Sus scrofa: one gene and its partners. Each later gene encodes a partner of the first gene's protein in a complex. Links are inferred from orthologs where the notes say so. Each region holds a gene or a part of one and is shown in the gene's direction. Other genes may lie near its edges. The genes, in order: YEATS2, TADA2A, SGF29, DR1, KAT2A, MBIP and KAT14.

Region 1 (3,500 bases):
TGTTACACGCACTCATCTCTCAGCCTCCACAGTTCTTGGGCCTCATCAGCCCCAGCAGTTTTCAAGTGCTCTGTCCTTCAGCTGAAGTGAAGGGACCCGAGGACTCCAGGAGCTGCCTTGGAAAACAGGAGCCTTTGCTAACCTCTGGCCGTGTGTCCCACCTGCCCCCCAGGACACCCCCTACAGAATTACTTGTGCCCAAGTGTCCCAAGTGCTGTGTCCCGGCCAGGCATGTTCCAGCCCATGGCATGCACCAGACACACACCTTTCGTTCAGGAGCTCCCCCTCCTCAGCATCATTTCTCCTTGGAAGACTTTCCTGACCACTTCCTTTCCTCCAGGTAGAAGTAACTTCTTCCTTTGTGACCTTATATTCACCCCCCACATAGACAAGTCTTTGCAGCCTCCTTAAAGATGGAGATGAGGTCTTATCTGTTACTTTCTCTCCAAAACCTAGCTAGGAAGTGTTGGAGGCACAGGTGTGAACAGCTAATAATGTTGCAGATAAAAAGCTTTTTTTTTAGGGCCTCACTCTTGACATATAGAAGTTCCCAGGGTAGAGGGTTGAATGGGAGCTGCAGCTGCCAGCCTATACCACAGTCATAGCCATGCCAGATCCGAGCCATGTCTGTAACCTACACCACAACTCGCAGCAACACTGGATCGTTAACCCACTGAGTGAGGCCAGGGGTCAAACACACATTCTCATGGATACTGGTCAGGTTGGTTTCCCCTGAGCCACAATGGGAACTCCCTGTTGCAGATAAAATGAATTGTTTTATGATAAAGATACAAATAACAGAGCTCTAAGTGGGCAGGTGTCAAGGGGGAGCTATGCATAAAACAAACATGGGGAGAATATTTTGAGTTTCATCTTAAAGAATAAGAAGGGTTGTTTTCTCTTCTCAACCCCATTTCTACAGAAAAACAGGTGCTCCATTCCCCCCGTCTGAGAGAACTAGAAACACAGGGGGGCCTTTAAGACTTAAGTCCCATTTTCTCCATGAAACTTTTCTGAGAACCCAAAGGCAAGGCGACCTCTCTTTTCTCTTATCTGCAGTGACATCTAATGTCAGAACCTTAAGGGTTTGTCAGACTTACATATCTAAGCTCTTTGGCAAGCAGAGACCATGTCCGTACTTCTGTGCTTCACCGGTAGTATACGCAGAACCGGCCCAGGGCTTCTGTTACTGTGGCTGATTAACCTGTGAGTGCCCGGCCTACAGTAGCACAGGATGCCAGGAGCTGGATGCTCTGCCATCACCCTGCGGGGTGCCCTTAACCCCCTCGTGTAGCTGCTCTGGACCTCTTGTTACTTAGCCATAAAGTGAAAGGGGTGCCCTAGAAGATTCCCAGAGCCCCTCCAGGCTTTACAGTTCTTTTTTTTTTTTTTTTTTTTTTTTTTTTTTGGCTTTTTTAGGGCCACACCCATGGCATATGGAGGTTCCCAGACTAAGGGTTGAATCAGAGCTACAGCTGCTGGTCCACACCGCAGCCACAGCTACACCAGATGCTTGACCCACTGAGGGATCACACCCACATCCTGGTGGATACTGGTTGGATTTATTTCCGCTGAGCCACGATGAGAGCTCCCCTGGCTTTACAGTTATAATACTCTTCGTTGGGCTTTGTATAAATCAGCTTATTAAAGATTGGATGCATGGTATACACTAAAATGTTAATAGTACTTATCTCTGAGCAGTGAGAAGAGGGGTGCCTTATAATTTCTCCATTATGCATTTTAAATTGTTCAGATTTAAAATTTGAAAAAAAAAAAATCCGTGGGGTGGGAAGATGACCTCATTTTTGGTGGCGTAAGTCAGAATTGTGTGCTGCTTTGACTTAGGTTGCCCTTAACATCATCACATCTACCTTTACACAAGATGCCTGTCTTGCTGCTTGTCTGCCTTATGACTTCTTAGTTCTCATAATTATAGATCCGTAGAATTTCAGAACTGGAAAGAAGGTCAGCTTCCTTGATACCCTTCTTCTTTGGCTCTCAGGCTGTTGGTCTTTTGGGGAGGGGAAGTCCCTCTCTTTTGTCACCACAGCTGCCATAAGACTGATCACCTCTCATTTAGAGTGCCCATCATCATTCTCCTCTGCTGACAACCTCTGCCGGAAACTGGAAGACCTGCAGCAGTTTCAGAAGAGCGAGCCGGAGAATGAGGAGGAAGTGGACATCCTCAGCCTCTCGGAGCCACTAAAGATAAACATCAAAAAGGAACAGGAAGAGAAACAGGAAGAAATGAAATTCTACCTGCCACCAACGCCAGGCTCTGAATTTATTGGTGACATCACACAGAAGGTAGGGGGTTGAGGCCTGTGCTGCTGGATCCCTCACCAGGTTTGGCCTTAGAACCGACAGCAGACGTTCTGCTGAAGTCTGTGTGGTCTCCTTCTGCCAGTAAACCCAGGCTCTGCTCTGAGCACCTGCCTTCCCACATCAGGGCCCTGAGGCAAGAACACGAATTACATTGTAGATGTTGCTCCTTGAACGTGGAATCGAAGCAAAGGCAGCTAGATACAGGCAGTTTTTTACTTTTCATCTTGTCTCTCGTTTGCCTCAGTAGAAGCATCTGTCCCTCATGAGGTGTGTCATAATGAGCTTTCCCTGACATTGCTAAAGCCCAGGTGCCCTGCCTGGGTGTGGATGTGGCACCCACTGCCCTTACAGGACAGCAGAGAATTACCAGCCCACCCCTGAGGGAACTCGGCTGTGCCTCAGTGTTTGCTTACACTTACAAGAGCAAATGAAAAACGGGGCAGTTTCCAATAATCCCTTCACCACCTTTTGCAAGTAGGGCCTCAGAGTCCGATTCCAGGCTTTACAATGTGTTGACCCCCACCATCAGAATTCATGGCAAATCCTTTATTCTCCCAGCAAGGAGATCTGGGGAGTAAGAGCAGGATTATGATAGCATTTTTAACAATCCCTCAGAAACATGGAGTGACAGAACAGCAAATGGCTCCAGTTGCTATATTCTGTGTTTCTTCTCCATGAGTTTTATCTAGAATGTTTGGAGGGTTATTCTTCCACCCAGATATCCTTGCATATCAGAGGATGTGCTTGTTTTTAATGTAGAAGTAGGAACAAATGGCTTCCTTCTGCTCTTCCAGATTGGAATCACCTTGCAGCCTGTGGCACTTCACAGGAATGTGTATGCGTCGGTGGTGGAGGACATGATTTTAAAGGTGGGTGCCTATGGGCAGCGGAGGGGCTGTGAACTGCCCCAGGGGCTGAAGCAGTGAGGGGCCGGCCGGGCAGGACAGTTTGGATCTCAGGCTACCTTGAGTAAGGGACAAGGACAGAAGTAGAAGATGACAGGCTTTAAGATTCTTTTTTTCCCTGTTTTTTAGGGCCGCACCTGTGGCATGTGGAAGTTCCCACACTAGGGATTGAATCAGAGCTGTAGTTGCCAGCCACAGCCACAGCAACTCAGGATCTGAGCGTGTCTGTGACTGAAACCACAGTTCATGGCAACACCGGAACCTTAACCC
Region 2 (3,500 bases), on another chromosome or scaffold:
AGAGCTATAACTCTGTTCGCCACATCTGTAATTCTGTTCGTTCAGTTTCCAAGTCTCTTGCAGTTAATAGGAAGATTAGAGATAATGCATGGAAACATAGCACAGTACCTGGCACACAGTAAAGCCTCCATAAATGGCAGTTTCTGTTGTTTTGTTGTTGTTGGAATGATCTTCAGCATTTCCTCCTTCTTCTTGTAAATTGACAGTTGTCACCCGCTGCCCACAAGAAGTGGTCCTATGGGTGTAAGTTTGGCCTCCTATAGTGGCTCTTTATTTTTAATGATGGAAGCTGTTTATAAAATGAAATTTTATGTGGAGGTCCCATCCGTAAATAAGATAAAAATGGGACTGCTTTGGTTGACGTCTGATGGTTCAGGTCCTGTGTGGAACCCAGGACCACCAGGATGGGGAGGTGCTCGTGGTCTTCCCAGTAATCCCTGAGAGACGTTCACGGGATCCTGGGGCTCTGTGGGACGTGGTTGAAAACCCACTGGTGTGGTCCTTTGGATCCTGTGTTCCTTTGTAATGTATGAAAAACACTATGCAGCTGTTGAGCAAGATGCATATAAAGACTCTGATACCACGTTTTGGTTACCTGATACTGGTTGCCTCTGGGAAAGAGGGGGAAGGATAGTACTGGTCAATGAGGGTTTGCTTTTATTTGTAATTCTGAGTGGTTTTTAAGGAAGGGTACATATATAGCACTTGTGTGACTCGCCAAAATACATGGATAGAAAAAACAGAACAGGAAGTAAAGATGACAATATTAAAAGTTACTTTTTGAGGGATATAAGCAACTCTTTGTGCTTTTCTGTTTGGGTTTTTTTCCTCCCCCTCCCAAATCCCTTAAAGGTAGAAAAGGAAGATATTTTCATTTCTTGTCAGAAAAGGGATTTCAAACTAGGGGAAATCACTTTGCTCTTAGGAAAACAATCGTGGAAGCAGTTTTGCAAAGGAAATTTTAAAAAGACAGACTTTGCTGATCAGTTAGGAAGCCCTTCAGTTAGTTCTGCTCCGTTGTCATTGTGGTCACCGTGGTGGTGGTTTTTTTCATACCTCCAGGTGCCAGAACCTATGATCACCTCAAGAAGACCCGAGAAGAGGAGCGCCTCAAACGTACCATGCTCTCCGAAGTCCTCCAGTACATCCAGGACAGCAGTGCCTGCCAGCAGTGGCTCCGCCGGCAGGCTGACATGTGAGGGCTTAACGCCGGGTGAAGGAGCAGCCCCTTGGATGTTTTGGCCTTCCCTGCATTTTCAGACATTTCTTTGTTGTTGGAATGATCTTCAGCATTTCCTCCTTCTTCTTGTAAATTGACAGAGCAGAGCAGTCCTAATTGGGTAGCTAGCAGAATTCAGAACATATTAGCAGTTCTCAGAAACAGCATGGTACTGACAGTTTTGAGAAACATAACTGGCCTCCTAGAATCCCACTTTGCTGCTTTGATTCTCCCCTCCCCATCCATGACATGTGGAAACGCCCAGGCCAGGGATCCAACCCGCCCGCAGTGCATTTGCGGCCTGGGCCGCAGGTGCGGCAATGCCGGATCCTTAACTTGCTGGGCCGCAAGGGAACTAATTTTTTAATTAGTAAATTCTCTCCCCATGCCTTCTTTCTCCCTCTATATTTATTGGTATGATTTTCATCGGAGAATCATGTTTCTGTTCCTTCCCCATGAGTGGCCTCCGTGATGGGCCAGGCCAAGAGGTCGTCTTCTTGGCAAATCCGAGCGATTTCCTTTCCTGGGTAGTTCAGTTGAGGTATCCTGGAGAGCATAGCCGTCTGTCTCATTACTTCTCTTCGGAGTAACTGACCCAATAAATGTCACTCAGTCTCATGTGGGCTTTTGGAAATTGCTTTCTTTGATGTGACGTAAGTTTAAATTCCTCTTCTTCATTGTAGTGATTCTGGCCTGAGTCCTTCTGTTCCAATGGCTTCGAATTCAGGTAATTATGTTTCAGGCTGGAACAAGCCTTGATTGTGAAGTTTTCATTCTAGGGAATTAGGGTGACCCAGCAATCCCTTCTGCTTTTGTGGGAGCTGCCAGCTGCTTGGGCAGAGGAGTGGGGATTAAGTGTGGTATCCTGGTTTATGAACGTCAGCAAGATTTTAGAATCTTCATTGTCAAACAGGGCCTTTCCTCAGGTTTGGACTGCAAAGACAGGGAAAGAAAGAACTCCAGACAGGTGTTTTCTCTATTTTATCATTGTTCGTGGGCAGTTAGTTACTGTGGTTCTGTCTGCCACAGATTTTGACATTTGTCTCACAGGGGATCAATTAAAGGCTCTGTCTTATGTGAGCAAAGGGGCAGGCTACTTGCCAGAAAAGAAAGATTTTCTTTATAAGTTGGAAACTTAAGGTATTTCTTATCTTTACCTCTTGGGGTATGTCCTATTTTGAGGTTAGTGTACAGAGCAGGATTAAGCCAAATGCTGTCTGATAATCCTTGGTGCCTGGTAATCAGTGGATGGTAGTTTAAGGGGGTGTTAGTTGTAGAGCTCTGGTCCAAGATTGTGCTATTTCTCTGCCCGTTTTCATGGTTATCGTTCACCCCTGCCCCAAATAGTAGATTAGCCATGTCCCCCAGTCTGAACATGCCGACCACTCCACTGAGGACAGACTGCCCTTGTCAGAAGTTGACCCACTTGTAGTTTTACCATTTTTTGAAAGGTTGGAACAACAGACCTTGTGATCCCATTCAAAATCTCTCAGATTCAGGATCTAGACAGGGCTCAGAAAAGGCCACTTTAGGGATTTTTTTTTTTTTTTTTTTTTTTTACCCTTTTGTTTCAAGTAATTAAAAGAGAGTCTTTTAGGGAATAACCAAAACAGTTAAATCCAAGTTTTATTTTATATGTTTCTTACATCCACCCCTCCCCTCAGTCTAAATACAGAAATACAGATAATTTAATATTGGCTAATTAAAATGAATGAAGAAGGGATGTTTCTGTCATGGCTCAATGGAAACAAATCTGACTAGCATCCATGAGGACGCAAGTTCAATCCCTGACCTTGCTCAGTGGGTTGAGGATCCGGCATTGCCGTGAGCTGTGGTGTAGGTCGCAGATGCGGCTCAGATCCTGTGTTGCTGTGGCTGTGGTGTACGCCAGCAGCTACAGCTCCGATTCGGCCCCTAGCCTAGGAACCTCCATGTGCCACAGACAAGGCCCTAAAAAGACAAAAGAAAAATGAGCAAACATGACCGTGCACCTTTGGCATTTGTGTTTTTTGAACCAGTCACCCTCACTCTTTGTACTTCCTGGGCGGGTGTTAGCTTTCCTTGGTCCCTGCATTAAGCTGGGAGATCCCTTGCTTCCCTTCATACTCTGTTTGATCCCAAGGCAACGCAGAGTAGGCAGCCTGGATCCCTGATCTAACCCAGCCTCTGGTCACTTGGGTGAGGCACGGAATGACTGTGGGCTTCCTTTCTGAGGCTTTAGGGTAAGGCACTCATCCCCTCTGTGGATGTGACAGGGAAGCCTGTTCCATAGCAGAGCAGC
Region 3 (4,105 bases), on another chromosome or scaffold:
CTGATTTGACCCCTAGCCTGGGAATTTCCACATGCCGTGGGTGCAGCCCTAAATAGCAAAAAAAAAAAAAAAAAAAAAAAAAAGAAAGAAAGAAAAAGAAAAAAGATTAATCCAGTGATACATGTTAACTGATACATAGTTATTGCAGGAAACTTCAGAAATTAAAGATAAATTCAAACAAACAAAAAAATTGAGCCCCAGGAGTTCCCTCTTGTTCAGTGGGTTAAGGATCCAGTGTTGTCACTGCTATGCCTCAGGTTACAGCTGTGGTGCAGGTTGGATCCCTGGCTGGGAAACTTCCACATGCCATGGCACAGACACCCCCGCCCCAAAACGAGCCCCAAATCTCCCTTGAGGAGAAAATAAAATTGACATTTGCCATTCAGGAGAAATAGCTTCTGAGACTTCATTTTTTTAAAAAATTTTATTTTATGGCTTCTCCCGCGGCACATGGATGTTCCCAGGCTAGGGGTCCAATTGGAGCTACAGCTGCTGACCTACACCACAGCCACAGCAACACAGGATCAGAGCCGCTACACCACAGCTCATGGCAATGCCTGACCCTTAACCCACTGAGCAAGGCCAGGGATCAAACCTGTGTCTTCACAGATGCTAGTCAGATTAATTTCAGCTGCGCCACTACGGGAACTCCTGAGACTTCAATAAACACGAAAATGCGAACTCCTTGCTTCTGTAAACCCCATAAAACGCAGGATATAGAACTGAGACTGGGTAGATGGTCATGCAACTTACTGAGAGACCACAGAAAGAAGAGTAAGTTTGATGGTAAAAAATGTTGCATTAAGTTTTGGGCTGAAATGGTTTGTGTTGAAGTCTAAGACTCTAATATGAATTTTAAAAAATAGAACGCTTATTATATACCAGCCACTATGGGTGTATATAGGTGAATAAAACAGTGGATCCTAACCTCCCTGAGCAGGCAAGTGTACCAAACAAACGTAAAATTTGGTATGGGTTATGTAAGAGATTACAAGATACTAGGATGTAAACCGTTGTGGTTAAACATTTGCTCACAATGACAATATGTTCCTGACAATACTCTCTAAAAGAATGATATCTGGGTTTACAGATCTGCTTATTTCTATTTATTTTTAACATTTTTTAAATGAACTTTAATTTTTGAAGCAGTTTTAGCTTTCCAGCAAAATTGAAGGAACAAGTACAGAGTTCTCATATGCCCACTGCTCCCCCTTCAATCAACAATCTGCTCGTTTAAAAATTTTTTTATTGTTTCATCGAGGTTTTGGTAATAGGAGTGGATACTGAAAACACGCTCTGGTTGGTTAAAACAAGGTTCAGCTGAAGAGGCGGAAACTCTGTGTCCAAGTAAAAACTACATTTCCCAAGGAGCAGCGCGGCACGGGAAGAGAGCGCACGCGTAGAGAGGAAGACAGCGCACGCGTAGAGAGGGTCTCGCGCTGCTCATAAAAGGGAAAAAGCGTGCGTGGTTCTTGAGCCGCCGCGAATCTTCGAACGTGAGCGCGTTGTTATCCGCAGACTCTGAAAGGCATTCGAGGGAAGACGCGCCTGCTCCCGCCGTCGCAGTTTCCAGCGCGACTTGCTTATTCCACCCGTGGTTCTGTAGGTGGGTATACGTCGTGGTCTGAGGCACTGCTTGGCTCCCCGCACCCCCGCTCGGAGAATGGCGGGAGCGGAGGGCCGGGGGGTCCCTGTTCTCGGGCGTCGCTGAGGCAGCTCTTGAGAGGCAGTGCGCACGCGCCCTGGACCGGGAGAGGCGGGGCGCTGGGAGGGAGGGCTGGCGCCGACCTTCTCTGGTAACTGACTGCGCCTGCGCTCGCCGGCTGGAAGAGGGTGGGAAGCCGCTGCACGTGGAGCTTGGCTCCGTGGCTGGGAGGGGTGGGTACGCACCCCAGGTGCGAGAGAACAAGGGCAGAGGATGGGGCCCGCACTTTGGCAGCTTTCATTATTTGCTGAAGGTGTGCTTAGTTTAACAACCTCATTCTTCATATTCCTCCAGGTGCTTTCTATTTCACTGCAGCCAAAACTTCATTCTCTACTCATTAGCCCCTTTTCTCCTTCAAACACACTCCAGTAAGGCCTTGGCTCTCACCCCTCCACTGAAATGGAAATGCGTGCTTCATTTGCTATGCGGAACATTCTCGTCTTCAGCTTCAGCTCTTTCTGGTTTCTCCTCTGCTGATTCTTGCTCTAACTTACCCTCAGTGGTTGGTTGTACTGCCCCACAGCCTCATCTTTGATCTCTTTTCTGTGCTGTTTCCTAGGCTTTAAATACTCTCTCTTTTTTTTTTTTTTTTGTCTTTTTGCCATTTCTTGGGCCGCTCCCGTGGCATATGGAGGTTCCCAGGCTAGCGGTCTAATCAGAGCTGTAGCCACCGGTCTACGCCAGAGCCACAGCAAACGTGGGATCCGAGCCGCGTCTTCGACCTACACCACAGCTCACGGCAACGCCGGATCCTTCACCCACTGAGCAAGGGCAGGGACTGAACCGGCAATTTCATGGTTCCTAGTCGGTTTTGTTAACCACTGAGCTACGGCGGGAGCTCCTAAATACCATCTCTTGTGTTTAACTCTCAAATTCTTGTCCTCAACTCATTGCTCTACCTGAAATTTTGAGTTTTACCATTCACCTTCTTCAGTTTTCCAATTTTTCAAACACCTTGAGTTATACTAGATGTCTTTTGCTTCCCCTCTGTCCTCTTTCTCCATCAGTCAGTACATGTTTATCTGTTTATATACTTGTTTATGTGGCCACACCCACAGCATTCCTAAGTTCCCAGGCCAGGGATCAAATCTGAGCTGCAACTGCCAGCTAAACAGGATCTTTTAACTCATGGCTCTGGGCTGGAGATAGAACCAGCACCTTGGCAGCAACCTGAGCTGCTGCAGTCAGATTATTGTTTATTTATTTGCTTTTTAGGGCAGCAGGTGTGTCATATGAAAGTTCCTGGACTAGGGATCAAATTGCAATTTCAGGTGCCAGCCTATGCCACAGCCCATGGCAATGCCAGATCCTTAACCCATTGAGCAAGGCTAGGGATCAAACCTGAGTGCTCATGGATACTAGTCTTGTGTTGCCACTGAGCCACAAAGGGAGCTCCCTGTAGTCCGATTCTTAACCCACTGGGAACTCAGACAGTCTCTCTTCAGAGCATGTTAACAGGAACTGATTTGTTTTCCAGGATCAGGGAGAAGATACTGAACAGTCCAGCTTCAGAACTGTTGCAGTGTTTCTAAGTTCAAAGACCGTTTTAGGAGGCCTCCAGGGAGTACCCTGGTGGCCTAGTATTTAAGGAACTGGTACTGTCATTGCCGTGGCTCAGGTTGGATCCCTCTGCAGGTTACAAGTATGGTGTTAAAAAAAAAAAAATTTCCAGGATTCAGTTCAGTTCTGCACTTGCTTTTGAGGACTTAGTAGGTGCCAGGCCCTGTGCTAATTGCTGGGAATATAAAGATGAATAAAAGTGCATCTCTCTCTTTTCAGAGATCTTGGTGTGGCAGGAGAGACAAACAATATGGTAGTCTCTGGGTGCATGTGTGACAAATGCAGGAACAGATGTTTGTGTCCGGTGCTTTAGAAGTTTCTGGAAGTTCTGATTGCCCATGGCATCAGGGCAGATTAGAGGGGCCTGAGACAGCCACATCTCCCTGCCAGTTGTTTCTGGCTAGGAGCAGCTTTGTCCTTGTACCGTAGTATGCCATACAAATACTGTCGTGTTCTCTGTGTGCCCTGGTGTGGAAAAGCTTGGCAGGTAGTGCTGAAAAAGTGTGAATTTTGCTGCCATTTGATTTGGGCCCTGAAAAAATGAGTAAATTTGAGAGATCCAGAGGCAAAAATGGAGAAGGATCGAAGGGCAGACATAACTGAAACATACAGGTCTGCTTGTTTGAGGCAGGGGCCCTGAGTATTTCAATATGGGTATCGTAGGGTAAGGTCAGTAGAGAAGGCTGTTTGAGAGGTGCCATTCAGGATCTGAAGCAGTGCCTTGAGAGTGTTTTGTACACCTCAGTGTCCGTTTTTATGAATACCTCCCCCACCACAAGGCACCCTGTTCTCAGTGGGTAGGTCTATTAGCATCCATAGTTTTAGAGATTAACTTTCTGG
Region 4 (4,129 bases), on another chromosome or scaffold:
CTGCAAGTGTACTGGCGAAAATGCTAAATGAAAAATTTTTTTAAAAATGTAATTAAGGTCTCCTAAAGTGCTACACCTAGGATCATACACCAAAAGGTTTTAAGAAAACATTTCAAACAAGCCAGTTGCTGTCCAATCTAAGAACAATTTAGCTGATTAACTAAAGTGCCCAAACTCATGTAAACGGTATCTGGTTTGCCTTTTAGAAATTGCACCTCCCTATTTATAATATAGTCTGCTTCTTCAAAATGACAGTATGGCAAACTTAGCTTTTAGAAATAATGCAATTTTTCTTTTTTTTTTTTTTTTTTTGGTCTTTTTGTTGTTGTTGCTATTTCTTGGGCCGCTCCCGCGGCATATGGAGGTTCCCAGGCTAGGGGTCGAACCGGAGCTGTAGCCACCGGCCTACGCCAGAGACACAGCAACGCGGGATCCGAGCCGCGTCTGCAACCTACACCACAGCGCACGGCAACGCCAGATCGTTAACCCACTGAGCAAGGGCAGGGACCGAACCCGCAACCTCATGGTTCCTAGTCGGATTCGTTAACCACTGCGCCACGACGGGAACTCCTTTTTTTTTTTTTTTTTTTTTTTTTTGGTCTTTTTGTCTGTTGTTGCTATTTCTTGTGCAATTTTTCTTAAGAACTTGATACACGTTTGCAAAAAAAAAAAAAAAATCAGAGCCCACTCTTTTTCGCTTCATCGAAATCCAAAATGTCTAAATCGGAACCTTCTAATCTGGCTCATTGTAGACTAGGCGTTTCCACTACGATGGATCTTATTTCTAGTTTCCAGTTTAGGTATTAGCAGTGACCGCGAGGGAAAGTCACTTTTCTGAATGTTTCCCATAAAACCAGAAAATGGGTGGGGCGCCCGAGTTTCCACCCGAATAACGTCTATGAGGTACTATCCAAAGCGTCTTCCTGTGGACGATACAGACACACCGGGTTCTACTTCCCCCATACTGCACGGCCGAGCCCAGGCCTCCTTCCTCTTCCTTTCAATCTCAATTCGGGCGCTTTAGGATGAGCAACTAGAATTCTTTAAACGAAATCCAGCGCCCCTTTGTCTGCAAACTTGGCTAGGAATGGGTTCCGAGCCTCAGCGGGTTGAGAGGGCAGAGGCGGCTTTCCATCTTCGCCAGTCCACGCAGCCACCCCGGCCCGCGTCCGACGCCTGCCGGGGCGCTCCGGTACCGCGGGGCGCGCGCCCGGCCGCTACGGCCCCGGGAAGGGGCGGGACCCCAAGGCGCGTGCCGGGACCACGGAAAGCGGAAGCAGCTGGCGGGGAGGACGGGCGGTTCCCGCCGGCGCGGGTGGGGGAAGGGCTGCAGCCACACCCGGAAGTCGGGCTGGAGGGGGGGAAAACGTGTGGGGGCGAGACTTCCGGTAGCGCAAAGGGTATCGGGAGAGACTTCCAGCAAACCTTCTTCTGTGGCCTCTGGAGGGACCACCGTTACCGCGTCTTCGGCTTCCACGGTCTGCGTTCGGGCTGAACGGCCACAGCGGCCGCCCCTGCCGCTCGCCTGTGCCGGCTCTGTCCGTCTTCGTTCCCCGGCGGCCGCCCGGGTTCCAGCAGCGGCCGCGGCCGACATGTTGTGAGGCGGCGGCGCCGGTGTCTGAAGGATGGTTTGGCCGAGGCAGCGGCAGCGGCTGCTGGCGGCGGCAGCGGGGGCTCCGGCTCTGTAGAGCCCGGCCCGCTGGGTGTCCGCCCGGTACCGCGGCCAGGCCAGTGCCCCTGGACCTTGCCTCTGCTCCGGCGCCGTTGGGGACCGGTTAGGCGACAGCGCACGCCCCTCTGAGGAGGCACGAAGGTGGTTCTCCGGGCTTAGATTTCCGCACCACCTTGCTTTCCCTCGCTGACCTGGGCGGTGCTGTCCCCAGGATCCTCAGCCCCCAACTTTGTTCCCAGCCTCGCCCTGAATCTCACGCACGCGGGTGTTTCTTGCCCTCTTGACCCCCCCTTTATCTCCTGCACCCTATTCTCAGAGCGCCGCCGGGCTCACTCTCCGAGGCGCCCTTTTGAAAGAAGCTTCGTGGAGTGTGGACCAGAGCTGGGGAGTTTTTTACAAGTCGGGGCACGAGAGGTAGGAAGGTACGATGGCCTCCTCATCTGGCAACGACGATGATCTCACTATACCCAGAGCTGCTATTAATAAGATGATCAAAGAGACTCTGCCCAATGTCCGGGTGGCCAACGATGCCCGGGAGCTGGTGGTGAACTGCTGCACTGAATTCATTCACCTTGTATCTTCTGAAGCCAATGAGATTTGCAACAAATCGGAAAAGAAGACCATCTCGCCAGAGCACGTCATACAAGGTAAGTGGTCTCTGTGGGCTTTTGCTGCCGAAGAGGGGCCGGCCGGGGACGGCGTGCTCGTGGGCGACGCCGTCATGTCCCAGCCCTCAGGCTGGTCCTGGTGGCTTAGTGCTGGTCGCTGACAAGGCCCCGCGGGCGTGGGGGCAGCCGGCGCCTTCACATCCCCGTGGCGGGTTCTCGCCCTTTTCAAGCAGCGGATGGTGGAAGAGCTGCCCAGCGGCGGGGCCAGCTGGCGTGCCCCCGGCTCGAGCGGGAGGGGTGCTCTCAGTTTACAGCCGGGCCAGCCGAAGCGGCAGGAGTTTTGCCTGCCTGCGGTGGAACCCGGACGTGAGGAGCGAGAAGGAGCCTGCGGAAGGGGGACCGAGGGCGTGACAACGGAGAGGAACCCAGAAGCTGTCCCGCGGAGGCTCTGAATGCAGACGGGACCTTCATCCCCACCCGAGCCCTGCCCCAGGGTGGAGGGAAAGACGCGTGTTGAGAACGCGGGGAGAGTGGGAGGAACGTGGATGTTGAGCGCTGCGCGGTGGATTAGGGTTGGATGGAGAGAGTGTCTGTGTTCTCTGCTTTGAAAATGGTCCTGCCGGCCAGCAACAAGTTGCCAGAGCTCTCAAGTTCTATTCTGTAAGAAAAGGCACCCTTTCCTCTCCCTCCTCTCCTTTCCTTCTCTTTCCTTCCTTCCTTCCCTCCCTCCTTCCTTCCTTTTTCTTCTGCAACTTGCTTTGCTTTGTGGCGGTAGCTTTTCCAAGCTTGGATGGAAAGATTGTGAGGTTTTTTTTCGCGGGACATTCCGCTGCCCTTTCCTGCCGTCCTCCCCACTTGGATGTACACACGCAACCTTTTCTTGAGCAGCGCTTCTGGAAGTGTAACAGTTTCTTCTTTCTTCTCTTGGAAAGGATTTAGTTCAGTAATAGAGTTGGGGAACTGTATTCTGATGGTTCGTTTCAAAAATGAAGAGACATTCACTAATTATGTTTTAGGAATTACTTTCTGTGACTTGTACATGTATTCTTATGAAAAGACTGCATTCAATTTGAAGTGAGACTTTACCTTTTATAATAGTCTAATTAAAATTTTTAACAATTTCTTGATTGCTTTTGAAGTAAAAAATCACGGTTAATTTTGGTAGGCAGGTGGTTGTCTACCATTTTATTTTTATAATTCAACTTTTTGAATTATATACAGTTTTATATAAAACTCAACTTTTATATAAAATTCAACTTTTTTTATAATTCGATTTTTTAAAAGGTGACTTTCTTGTTATTCTGAAGTAGAGGACACATCTCATACTTAACCATATGTAGTATTTCACTGTCAATATTGACAAAAGGATTAAATGAGTCACTTTTGATCCTTAATGATGTGTGGAAAGTAGGTTTAAAACATACTCTGCCGTTTCCATTTCAGTACTTCCTTATGGAGGAAGGAAATCCCTAGGGAAAAGTTTATTTGATTTTAAAGCTAGAATATTCTTCTACTTGTTTGGTGTACTCTGGCAAGTAAAATGAAAGCAAAAGTTGTCTGTTTTTCCTCTTGTGTTTTATTTTTACATTGTATGTGCAATTGTTGGCACAAGTCTTTCACAAGATTATTCAACACAGATAGCTATAATTTCGTTTTACAGCTTATAAAAGAGAAAAAGGATCTTTGATCAACATTGCCTTTCCAATGAAAATTGCAAAAGATTTCAGAAGGATCTGCCTAAACACTTGTTTACACCACAGACGTGGTGATCATTCCAAAAATCTAATAACACATCACGATCTGTCTTCTTGGGTAGAGTTTATTCTTTTCTAGGATATATTTAGATATC
Region 5 (4,073 bases), on another chromosome or scaffold:
GTTGGGGAGACCGCTACTGACCCGCTGCATCCGAGAGAGCAACTGCTGGTGAAGAGCGCGAGGCTCCGAATGTAGCGCTCGGCTAGGGCGTGGGGGCCCCCGGGAGCGGGGGCCTCGGGCCGGAACGGCTGCACTCCCGCTCCCGCGGCGCCTGCTCTGTTGAGGGGGCTCCCCTGGCTTCCGGCAAGTTTCGCTTCCGCGGAATTTGGGATCAGCTATGCACATAGCTCCACGAGTCAGGTTGGCAACCGCTCTGACGCCTCCGCGGCTGCTTTTATCCCGGATCCTGCCCCTTGCTCGGGCCCTTCCCCAACTCCGTCAGAGGGCCCTGGCCTGCCGGGGCTGTGACCCAAACGGATAGGCCAAAAGAGGCCGGCGGCCTGTGAGCCCCACCCTGGAGCCGTCAGCAGCACGAGCAGAGATGAGATTGAGCCGCCCGGCTCATGCCCTTGCGAGAATCCGGCCTGGGGGCAAGCGGGGCCTGCCCTCTGAACAGAGCATCAGAGTGTGACTACAGGGTCATCCATTCTAGGAATGTCCTTCCGATCTCTGACCATGCACAATCCTGCGACACATAGGGTTTGGAAGGTGGACGCACCTTCCTGGTTTCCTTCATTCATCTGACCCTGGGCCTACTGGTGGCAGGCGCAGAGCTGGGCTCTGGCACCAGTGCCCACGGTGTGAGAGGAGAGCCACACCCATAGGCCCTCCTCTGCCTCTACCTCATCCCCACCTCTGCAGTTTTTTGAGGGGCCACAGCCATTATTCTGGCCCTCAGTGCTTTTATGATAAGCCTTTTTTTGTTGAAGTAAAACAGAAAAATGCACAAAGAGAACACACACTCGTGTAACCCCTCCACAGGTCAAGAAATAGTATTGTTGCTATTTAATCGCCACCCCAGCTGCAGGTCCGCGTCCGGAGGTACGCGGGACAGGGTCAGTGTGGGGACGGGAGGGAGCGAGGCAAGAAGCCGAAGCGACTCTAGGCCCTCCAGGTCTACACCTTCTCTCCCGGGCTTGGGAGGCGAGACCCCGGAGAAGCCTGCTTTGTGGGATGCTTCTCCCTGTTCCCACCAGGACAGCAATCTAGACTATCTTGGAAGCCTTCCGTAGAGATTACAAGTTTAGAGGAGTCCATCTGGGGTGCTAGGTAGGGCCTCACTTGGCTGTCCCGGATTTAAGAAAGAGGACAGAAAAGTCTGGAAGCTGGAGGCGAAGAGCGGCTGTGAAAAGACTACAACTCCCATCATGCTCCAAGGTAGCGACGCCTGCGCACCGAACGCCGGTTGCCCATGCGGCCCTAGGGCTGGGAGCGCCGCGCCGCGCCGCGCTCCGCAGCGGGGGAGGCCATGGCGGAACCTTCCCAGGCCTCGACCCCGGCCCCAGCCGCTCAGCCGCGTCCCCTTCAGTCCCCAGCCCCCGCCCCAACTCCGACTCCTGCTCTCAGCCCTGCTTCGGCCCCGACTCCGGCTCCCACTCCGGCACCAGCCCCCGCCCCAGCTGCAGCCCCAGCCGGGAGCACAGGGACTGGGGGGCCCGGGGTAGGAAGTGGGGGTACCGGGAGCGGGGGTGATCCGGCTCGCCCTGGCCTGAGCCAGCAGCAGCGCGCCAGCCAGAGGAAAGCGCAAGTCCGGGGGCTGCCGCGCGCCAAGAAGCTTGAGAAGCTAGGGGTCTTCTCGGCTTGCAAGGTGGGGGCGGGGCCTGGGGCGAGAGGGGGCGGGGCTTGGGGCATCCCAGGGCTCGGGTGGGCAAGGGGGCAAAGCTCTGATTGGGGAGCGCTTCTCGTCCCGGGGTTACAGGGTTATTGACGGATCCTTCTGTCTCCAGGCCAATGAAACCTGCAAGTGCAATGGCTGGAAAAACCCCAAGCCCCCCACTGCACCCCGCATGGACCTGCAGCAGCCAGCTGCCAACCTGAGCGAGCTGTGCCGTAGCTGTGAGCACCCCTTGGGTAAGGCAGTACCCTTGGAACTGGGGTGGGGGTGGAGGTCTTGGGTCCTGCTTGGACAGGATGACTTAAGTGCCACACAACTTCATCTTTGAGAGATCCGAGATGCTTCCTGAGGAGGCATTGGGTTGGGAGGAGAAAGGAGATCTCTCAGTCCAGAAGAGAGACCACCCAGGGCTGACACAGGAGCCCGCAGTCTCATTGCCGGTCACCCTGGTCGGAGGGACTGAGGATGCGTCTTGGCTGGTGGTGAAGAGGAGCAGGAAGCCCTGTCGATCCCTTCTATCAGTTTTCCACAACCACCACTTGTCCTTACAGCTGACCACGTGTCCCACCTGGAGAATGTGTCAGAGGATGAGATTAACCGGCTGCTGGGGATGGTGGTAGATGTGGAGAATCTGTTCATGTCTGTTCATAAGGAGGAGGACACGGACACCAAGCAGGTCTATTTCTACCTCTTCAAGGTGAGCTTCCTTGAAGGAAGAGTGTGAGTGGGCAGAGGAGGGAGGGTGGGGGGGGTCTGCCTTTCTGTGCTCCGCTGACTTCTACTCCTCCCTCTTCCTCTTCCTCCAGCTCCTGCGGAAGTGCATCCTGCAGATGACCCGGCCCGTGGTGGAGGGATCCCTGGGCAGCCCCCCTTTTGAGAAGCCTAATATCGAGCAGGTGGGACAAGGAAGGTGGTAAGATGGTTGGAGGTATAATGGAGGAGTGGGGAGCCAAGCTGGGGACAGGGGACAGGTTCAGAGAAAGGAAGAGGCCTTGCGCTAACTTCAGGGTGGGTGTGAAGGTGGGAGGAGGTGTGATTTCTCAGAGAAGGCCCTCCAGAGCCGGAGCCCCAGAGAGCCTTGCGCTCTGCCCTCAGGAAGCACCCCCCTACTTCTGGATCAGAAGTCCCTGCCAGTGGCTCACGCCTCCTCCCCTGTTTTGTCCCCCGCTCGCCCCCACCTCCTCAGGGTGTGCTGAACTTTGTGCAGTACAAGTTTAGTCACCTGGCTCCCCGGGAGCGGCAGACGATGTTTGAGCTCTCGAAGATGTTCCTGCTCTGCCTTAACTACTGGAAGCTTGAGACGCCCGCCCAATTCCGGCAGAGGTCTCAGGCCGAGGACGTGGCTACCTACAAGGTCAATTATACCAGGTAGGTCCAGCCAGGGACGGCGCAGGGGAGGCTTGTAGGTGTCTGCTCTCACTCAGCAACCCACTCCCCACCACCACCACAGATGGCTCTGTTACTGCCATGTGCCCCAGAGCTGCGACAGCCTCCCCCGGTACGAGACCACTCACGTCTTTGGGCGAAGCCTTCTCCGCTCCATCTTCACCGTCACCCGGCGACAGCTGCTGGAGAAGTTCCGGGTGGAGAAGGACAAGCTGGTGCCTGAGAAGAGGACCCTCATCCTCACCCACTTCCCCAAGTAAGGTTTGTTCTGGCCTATCAGGATCTTGCACCGTGTTCGCATCCTCCCTGTGGCCCCCGCTTTTTCCAGGAAGACTTCCTGGGTTGGTCTCTCTTTTCTCTCCATGAGCCTTCTGGGATCTGGGCCTCTGGCTGACGACTTACCCACGGCCCAGATGCCACTCGCTAGCTATTTCCCCTTTCACGTCTTGGTCTGGGGATGGCAGGTGCATGGCCCAGGTGCTGATACTGTCCCCACCCACCTCCCGATGGACGTGACTAATTGTTTCCCATGGGGCATGGATGCAGCTCAGAATCCTCACCACAGCACTCTAAGAAACCAGAACTTACACCTGTGAAACCGACTTCCACCCTGCACTAGTCCTTCCTGGGAGATTTACTCTTCTGCCACACCTTCCCTTCATTTTATTCTATCTTACTTGATCTCATGTATTTATTTTTGTCTTTTTAGGGCCGAACCCAAGGCACATGGAAATTCCCAGGCTAGGGGTCTGCAGCTACTGGCCTACACCATGGCCACAGCAACGCTAGATCCCAGCCGCGTCTGCGACCTGCACCACAGCTCACGGCAACACTGGATCCTTAATCCACTGAGCGGGGCCAGGGATTGAACCTGTGTCCTCATGGGTACTAGTCGGGTTCATTAACCACTGAGCCACGGCAGGAACTCCCTTCCTTTGATTTTAAACCTGGCTCGCAGCTACCCAGTTCAAGA
Region 6 (3,500 bases), on another chromosome or scaffold:
TCTTGGTAGTTTTCTGTATATAATTTTATTCTCACAGACATAGCCAATTTATAAGAAATTTTCGTGTAATAAGCCCTCACACTGTACAAGTTAGCAGTAAGTCAGGCCTTTCCATCCAGTCTCTGGCCATTTATTTCATTATTATGGATAACTATTAGTTTTTCAGTTTCAGATTTCCACTGCTTAGTAGTAGTTTAATTTTTATTTGAAGTAGATAAACACTTTGTCACTTATCCCTAGACTTTATAATATGTATGAGAAAAAACTTGATTTTTAAATTATTTTAAAAATTTGTTAAAATTGAAAACAAAGTGCGATTCAGAAGATAATCAGAGTAATGATGTATTTCAGTTATGTATTTATGTGCATAGTTAACAATAACAAATGTGCATATCAGAACTTTCAGAAACGTACCTGCCCCCTGTTTAATGCTCTGGCTGGAAGCAGGAGGATTCTGAAAAGGGGCAGCCTATCTTGGCCCCTGTCCAAAGGCTTTGAGATATTGAAGTATCAAAAAGCCTCATCTTTTCATCTTTCACAAATTGTTTTACCTGTAAGATGGTCACATTACACAGACCCACGAATAGAATCGGAGTGAGATGTCAATCTGATTTTTTGGAAAATTGTACTTTTTTTGGCTTTTTAAAGTGGTAACTAGATAGAGCATTTTAATGTATCATTAAAAACTTAAGAACTTTGAGCTGAATAGGTTTGTTAGTCTGTAGAAATCTTGTTTTTCTCTGACAGTCCCTTATGTATACCTTAATCGTGTAATTTTTGTGATGTTGCTGGTTTGCCCCTTTGAAGCTTAACCTCAGAGATGATGTGGTGAAAATTACAATCGATTGGAACAAGCTCCAGAGCCTCTCGGCATTCCAGCCTGCTTTGCTCTTTAGTGCACTTGAGCAACACGTTTTATATTTACAGGTAAATTTCTTGTTAAAAATGTTAACTCGATATTGAGGCTAGAAATTAATTGTAGTTAAATTATAAGCTGGAGTATTTGTCAGTTCTATCTTAACACTATATTGATAGTGTAACTAATAAAAGGTTACTTCAGCCAGATTGGATCCAAGTCTCTTAATTTACATCGTGATAGGACAGTTAGAGGAATACAGCCCAGTAGACTGATGTGGGTATGAAGACTGAGTGAATGCAATTCTATTCAATTCTAGACTTGCTGAAAATTCAATACAGTTGCATCTATGGTGGGTTATAATTAAGCAATAAGACACGGCAGGTGTGTGTCATGCTATGATAATGATTCCATGCCTTGGGTGAGTTTGGAGGCTCATGGAGTGCTTTCAGTGGTTGAAGAAGTGGCATTATCCCAGCATGACACATCCTGGAGTGTCTATTGCAATTAAACAGTTTCAGCATAGTTTTTAAAAAGAAAGTAATTTCTGTGACATTAATGTCTCATATTAGTGAGTAGCCAGTCAGTATTTTATCTTCTCTTTTTCTTAAGAATTTGAAATAATTCATCCTTTATGTTAAAAGTCAACACTGTATTGTTAATTTATAGTAGTATTGCTATATTTTTTAATATTTCAGTTCAATAATTGAGCAGTATTATGAGCTAACTAGTTTCCAATTGAACATCTCTGCAGTTATGATTGATGTAGGTTTGCAGTTTATCTCTAATCAACGTATAAAATATGAAGTGTCAGGTTTGGATTGGTCATTTTTTTGCTATTGAAATGTTATAAAGTTTCAGAAGAGTATTTGGTATAGCAAACAGGGGAAGCAAAATTGTAGCTATGAAAAAATAATTGGAACATTGACAAGTGTTGGTGTGTTTTGATTAACGGAATAGACATTAATTTTCAGTCCTCTGTTCAAGGGTTTTATGGGAAATCTTAACTGTTTCATATTAAAAGTAATAGTTAACCCTAGTTTTAAAAGGTGGAAACAATGAGCTATAGAACTCAACTGAGGCCTAATTGTTGGGGGGAAATAATTCATGTTATACAACAGGGTTCCCTCCCCCCTCCCCCCAGTGTAGTAATAGGCATCTACCTCTTTTTAGCTATGTTCATTTTTTTCAAAAATTTAATTTCATGACCTAAGAAGATATCTTGCCATGTCAGGAAAAGCCTGAGTGTTCACTCAGCATAACACCTATATATTTCATGTCTATGCTCTCTCATTCACTTTGGCCAACTGCAGTTTCAAGTGGAGAATCTCCAGTGATATAGTGATAATGCAGGGCTTTGCTGAGTGAGAGCACTGGCTCTCATGTTAAGGAGGAAAAATACTAAGCCTTAGTGTTCTGAGGAGGCATTTGAATGACATGTTAATTAAGTGGCATTGGTGCCACAGGCTGAGGCTTTGATTTGGCACAAAATAAAAGATGAGTGACAGAATGATTCTTTCAAAGAAAATTTTAAATATCCTCAGTTTTCTTTCTTTTCTTTCCTTTTTTAAAAAAACAGATTTATAGCAAATGATACTGGTCACAGTAGAGAACAACGGCACTTATATGCGGTCAGATCTATGTATGATATGCCAACCTTTTATATTTAGTTAATTGAAATTAAATATTGCCTTTACTTGCAGAAATTTATATAAATATGGTAAATGTATAATTAATTTTGATCAGTTTGAACCTCAGCAGATGGAATTGTGTTCTTCTCAGCCTTTTTTAGCAAAACTTCAGCCTCTAATTAAAGAGGAGAATACAGCTGTTGTTGAAGAGATAGGAAAAACAGAAACAGGGAACAAGAATGAAGTAAATGCCAAATTTCCCATTGGTGACCTACAAGAGGAAGAAAAGCAAAAAGATTGTGATTTAGGAGATATGAAAAAGACACAGATCCATTTTGATCCAGAAGTCGTTCAAATAAAAGCTGGAAAAGCAGAAGTAAGAAGTTGGGTTTGGGGGAGGGGGTGGGGGGAGGTTTTTTTTTTTAACTCATTATGTTTGAATTAAGACATGCATACTTATTGTTTGTAGATTGACAGACGAATATCTGCGTTTATTGAAAGAAAGCAAGCTGAAATCAATGAAAACAACGTCAGGGAATTTTGCAATGTTATTGATTGTAATCAAGGTAACTATCTAGAAGTTAATTTTCGCAGGATTTTAATGATCTTTCATTTGTTCTCAATGAATAATATTAAGGACACGGTTTAATTTATTTCACAGGTTTATTTGGAAACTAAAGCAGCAGAATTTCCTTCTGTTTAATAATAGACTATATTGCAGACTTTGTTGCAAAATGGTTTTCCTCTTGGTTATGCAAAAGTCAAATAAATGCTAACATTAAAAGGCTCGTATTTACCACAGGTGAAAAAATTGTTTTAAAGTTCCTTCCAGAAATGAAGTGTGGGTGGCAAGGCTAGTCAGTCTCACTAGTAGCAAGGACCTAAGCTGTATTAATTTCAAGTCTGTAAAGGTTTTAGGAAATTATGATGTTAATACATGAAGTAAACTTAGTAAAGTTAATACTCCTCAAGAGGGAGCAATTTTCTTACTACTCCTTAGCTGTTTGAAATGT
Region 7 (3,500 bases), on another chromosome or scaffold:
AAATTTTTAATGAGCTTTAAAGAATTTTAAACAGGCGTTCTTGTAGTGGCTCAGCAGAAGGGAATCTAACCAGTATCCATGAGGCTGCAGGTTCGATCCCTGGCCTCACTCAGTGGGTTAGGGATCTGGCTTTGCTGAGAGCTGTGGTGTAGGTTACAGATGCAGCTTAGATCCTTTGTGGCTGTGGCTGTGGTATAGACTGGCAGCTGTAGCTCCAGTTCGACCCCTGGCCTGGGAACTTCCATAAGCTGCAGGTTCAGCCCTAAAAAGCAAAAAAAAAAAAAAAAAAAAAAAGAGAAAGAAAAAAAAAATAGATATTTTATTCTTTTCTTGCAGCCTCAAAACCAACTTTAGATCCCATCATTACTGTTGAGGGACTTAGGAAACGGGCAAGTCGGAATCCTGTGGAATCTGCCATGGAATTGAAAGAGAAAAGGTCTCGGACTCAGGAAGCAAAGGACATCAGAAGAGCCCAGAAGGAGGCGGCTGGCTTTCTGGACCGGAGCACCTCATCCACCCCCGTAAAATTTGTAAGCCGAGGCCGCAGGCCAGATATGATCCTGGAAAAAGGAGAAGTGATCGACTTTTCTTCCCTGAGCTCCTCCGACCGCACCCCACTGACAAGCCCATCTCCTTCTCCGTCTCTGGATTTCTCTGCCCCTGGGACCCCCGCCTCCCACTCAGCCACACCCAGCCTGCTGTCAGAAGCTGATCTGATTCCAGATGTGATGCCGCCACAAGCCTTGTTTCACGGTAAGACCAACGGTTCTCAGGTTCTGTGTTGTGTGTGGGCCTCCATGTCAGTGGGTCCGCTCCCCCTCGTGGGTGGTGGGCCTGCATTTTCCCTCCTCTTTTCTGTTGCACACAGATGATGATGAGCTGGAAGGCGACGGCGTCATAGACCCTGGGATGGAGTACGTCCCGCCCCCTGCCTGCTCTTCCGCCTCAGGGACAGGGGTCGGGGGCAGAAAGAAGGTCAGGGCCCCTGAGCAGATAAAGCAGGAGGTGGAAAGTGAGGAGGAGAAGCCCGACAGGATGGACATTGATAGTGAAGACACAGACTCCAACACATCCCTGCAAACGAGGGCTCGAGAGAAGAGGAAGCAGGCGCTGGAGAAGGACCGTAAGCCCAAAGGGCCCAAGTTCACCCCTGTGAGCATCTACGAGGAGAAGCTGCTCCTCAAGCGCCTGGAAGCCTGTCCTGGTGCCGTGGCCATGACCCCAGAGGCCCGGCGGCTGAAGCGGAAGCTGATCGTCAGGCAGGCAAAGCGGGACCGAGGGTTACCGCTCTTTGACTTGGATCAGGTTGTCAATGCGGCGCTTCTCTTAGTGGATGGGATTTATGGGGCCAAAGATGGAGGAGTTTCCAGGCTTCCAGCTGGACAAGCCACATACAGGACAACCTGTCAGGACTTCAGAATCCTTGACCGGTACCAGGTGAGTTTTGGCCACACTCCCTGACTCCTGGGGCTGCTGCTCCATGGAGCACGTGCAGGAATGCAGGACAGAGCAAGAGAGAGAAATACAGAAATGACTGGGTTTGGGAGTTCCCTGGTGGCCTTGAGGTTAGGGATCTGGTATTGTCACTGCTATGGCAAGCAACTTCCACATGCTGAGGGTGTGGCCAAAAAAAAAAAAAAATGGCTGGACAGTATTTTTTTTTTAATTGTCCAATGTCCCTTAGTATATCTGAGTTTGGTTCTTTTGTCTTCCTTTTGGGGATTTTGGACAGAACCTAGACTCTGTATCTTTTAGCTGCTGAGGGTGGCTGTACATGGCGCTGATTGACAGGTTTGTTAGGACAGTGCACTAGACACAGCTGAGCATTAGTGAAGGAGTGTGGACATCTGTGTCATCGGGAGACACCCTAAGAAAACAGTAGCCAGGGTCAGCATGGCTGGAAGACCTCGGTGGAACCCTGTCTGTGCTCTCGGGAACAGTGCTTATTACTAACCAGTTAATCAGATTAACTTGTTTTGCTAATATGATGGCTGAAAATGAAATCTTGTTTTTTATTCATGTTTCTTTGGTTACAGGTGAAGTTAAACATTTTCCCTGTTTCCTGGTTGTCTGAGAATTGCTTATTTTGATTATTTCACGTTTTCCTATCTTCTTTGGGAACTAGTTGGATCTGGTCTCATTGCCTGTCTTTATTGCCAGTGTTCTGATGCTGTTCAGTGATGTACTGTGTGGGGCTTTTCTTTTCTGCTGCTGGGCTTTGGTATATGGCTCTTTCCATATGAAACGCTCCTTCTTGAGTTCCAGAATTTCCTAGCTTCTCTTTGCTCTGCTCCGTCTGTTAGGAGCACCCCTCTCATTTGGATGTTGGACCCTGGGGTTGGCAAGCCTTTTCTGCAGAGGGTCAGATAGTAAGCAGTTTTGGCTTTGCAGGCCAGCACTGCCATATGGTATGAAATCAGCATAGATGGTAACAGTGAGTGGGTGTGGTTCTAACACAGGTTGGATTTTTTTTTAATTTATTTTTTTATTACTCACCGAGTTTATTACATTTATAGTTGTACAATAATCATCACAATCCAATTTTATAGGCTTTCCAACACACAACCCCAGTGCATCCCCCACCCCCCGAACTATCTCCTTTGGAAAGCATAAGTTTTTCAAAGTCTGTGAGTCAGTATCTGTTCTGCAAAGAAGTTCAGATTCCACATGTCAATGAAAGCATTTGATGTTGGTGTCTCATTGTATGACTGACTTCACCTAGCATGATAATTTCTATGGCCATCCATGTTGCTAAAGATGCCGGTATTTCGTTCCTTTTAATGGCTGAGTAATATTCCGTTGTGTATATGTACCACACCTTCTTGATTCACTCTTCTGTCGATGGACATTTAGGTTGTTTCCGTGTCTTGGCTATTGAAAATAGTGCTACCATGAACATCGGAGTACATGTGTCTTTGTGAGTCATGGTTTTCTCTGGATAGATGCCCAGGAGTGGGATTGCTGGATCAAATGGTAGTTCTATTTTTAGTTTTCTGAGCAATCTCCATACTGTTTTCCACAGTGGTTGCACCAATTTACAATCCCACCAACATTTTAGCAGGGTTCCTTTGTCTCCACACCCTCTGCAGCACTTATTGGTTATAGACTTTTTGATGATGGCCGTTCTGGCTGGTATAAGGTGGTACCTCATAGTGGTTTTGATTTGCATTTCTGTAATCATGAGTGATGTTGAACATCTTTTCATGTGTTTTTTGGCCATCCGTATGTCTTCTTTGGAGAACTGTCTGTTTAGATCTTCTGCCCATCTTTGGATGGGGTTATTTGTTTTTTTGGTGTGGAGCTGCAGAAGGTGTTTATAAATTTTGGAGATTAATCCCTTGTCAGTCGATTCATTTGCAAAGATTTTCTCCCATGCTGTGGGTGTCTTTTTGTGTTGTTTAGGGTTTCCTTTGCTGTGCAGGAACTTTTAAGTTTGATTAGGTCCCATTTGTTTATTTTTGTTTTTACTGTCATGATTCTAAGAGGTGCATCTGAGAAGA

Evidence for each region.
Region 2: YEATS2 (region 1) and TADA2A share a complex: the UniProt entries of both Homo sapiens proteins name them as parts of the ADA2A-containing complex. The link is inferred for Sus scrofa from reciprocal best matches to the Homo sapiens genes YEATS2 and TADA2A.
Region 3: YEATS2 (region 1) and SGF29 share a complex: the UniProt entries of both Homo sapiens proteins name them as parts of the ADA2A-containing complex. The link is inferred for Sus scrofa from reciprocal best matches to the Homo sapiens genes YEATS2 and SGF29.
Region 4: YEATS2 (region 1) and DR1 share a complex: the UniProt entries of both Homo sapiens proteins name them as parts of the ADA2A-containing complex. The link is inferred for Sus scrofa from reciprocal best matches to the Homo sapiens genes YEATS2 and DR1.
Region 5: YEATS2 (region 1) and KAT2A share a complex: the UniProt entries of both Homo sapiens proteins name them as parts of the ADA2A-containing complex. The link is inferred for Sus scrofa from reciprocal best matches to the Homo sapiens genes YEATS2 and KAT2A.
Region 6: YEATS2 (region 1) and MBIP share a complex: the UniProt entries of both Homo sapiens proteins name them as parts of the ADA2A-containing complex. The link is inferred for Sus scrofa from reciprocal best matches to the Homo sapiens genes YEATS2 and MBIP.
Region 7: YEATS2 (region 1) and KAT14 share a complex: the UniProt entries of both Homo sapiens proteins name them as parts of the ADA2A-containing complex. The link is inferred for Sus scrofa from reciprocal best matches to the Homo sapiens genes YEATS2 and KAT14.

Annotation. Positions count from the first base shown.
Region 1 is NC_010455.5:121,738,847-121,742,346, forward strand, and holds part of YEATS2 (YEATS domain-containing protein 2), read left to right. Parts: exon of another isoform or gene 1-2,080; coding exon 2,081-2,307; exon of another isoform or gene 2,308-3,119; coding exon 3,120-3,194; exon of another isoform or gene 3,195-3,500. UniProt on the Homo sapiens protein: Chromatin reader component of the ATAC complex, a complex with histone acetyltransferase activity on histones H3 and H4. YEATS2 specifically recognizes and binds histone H3 crotonylated at 'Lys-27' (H3K27cr).
Region 2 is NC_010454.4:38,920,156-38,923,655, forward strand, and holds part of TADA2A (transcriptional adapter 2-alpha), read left to right. Parts: intron 1-1,062; coding exon 1,063-1,195; intron 1,196-1,902; coding exon 1,903-1,946; intron 1,947-3,500. UniProt on the Homo sapiens protein: Component of the ATAC complex, a complex with histone acetyltransferase activity on histones H3 and H4. Required for the function of some acidic activation domains, which activate transcription from a distant site. Binds double-stranded DNA.
Region 3 is NC_010445.4:18,385,131-18,389,235, reverse strand, and holds the start of SGF29 (SAGA-associated factor 29), read left to right. Parts: upstream 1-1,305; 5' UTR 1,306-1,606; intron 1,607-4,105. UniProt on the Homo sapiens protein: Chromatin reader component of some histone acetyltransferase (HAT) SAGA-type complexes like the TFTC-HAT, ATAC or STAGA complexes.
Region 4 is NC_010446.5:123,833,076-123,837,204, reverse strand, and holds the start of DR1 (protein Dr1), read left to right. Parts: upstream 1-1,329; 5' UTR 1,330-2,099; coding exon 2,100-2,319; intron 2,320-4,129. UniProt on the Homo sapiens protein: The association of the DR1/DRAP1 heterodimer with TBP results in a functional repression of both activated and basal transcription of class II genes.
Region 5 is NC_010454.4:20,637,220-20,641,292, forward strand, and holds the start of KAT2A (histone acetyltransferase KAT2A), read left to right. Parts: upstream 1-1,273; 5' UTR 1,274-1,348; coding exon 1,349-1,687; intron 1,688-1,826; coding exon 1,827-1,950; intron 1,951-2,265; coding exon 2,266-2,411; intron 2,412-2,520; coding exon 2,521-2,610; intron 2,611-2,900; coding exon 2,901-3,082; intron 3,083-3,164; coding exon 3,165-3,356; intron 3,357-4,073. Other genes in the region: HSPB9 (heat shock protein beta-9), read right to left, coding at 1-225. UniProt on the Homo sapiens protein: Protein lysine acyltransferase that can act as a acetyltransferase, glutaryltransferase, succinyltransferase or malonyltransferase, depending on the context.
Region 6 is NC_010449.5:63,662,223-63,665,722, forward strand, and holds part of MBIP (MAP3K12-binding inhibitory protein 1), read left to right. Parts: intron 1-807; coding exon 808-927; intron 928-2,638; coding exon 2,639-2,863; intron 2,864-2,956; coding exon 2,957-3,053; intron 3,054-3,500. UniProt on the Homo sapiens protein: Inhibits the MAP3K12 activity to induce the activation of the JNK/SAPK pathway. Component of the ATAC complex, a complex with histone acetyltransferase activity on histones H3 and H4.
Region 7 is NC_010459.5:26,498,457-26,501,956, forward strand, and holds part of KAT14 (cysteine-rich protein 2-binding protein), read left to right. Parts: intron 1-336; coding exon 337-753; intron 754-868; coding exon 869-1,437; intron 1,438-3,500. UniProt on the Homo sapiens protein: Component of the ATAC complex, a complex with histone acetyltransferase activity on histones H3 and H4. May function as a scaffold for the ATAC complex to promote ATAC complex stability. Has also weak histone acetyltransferase activity toward histone H4.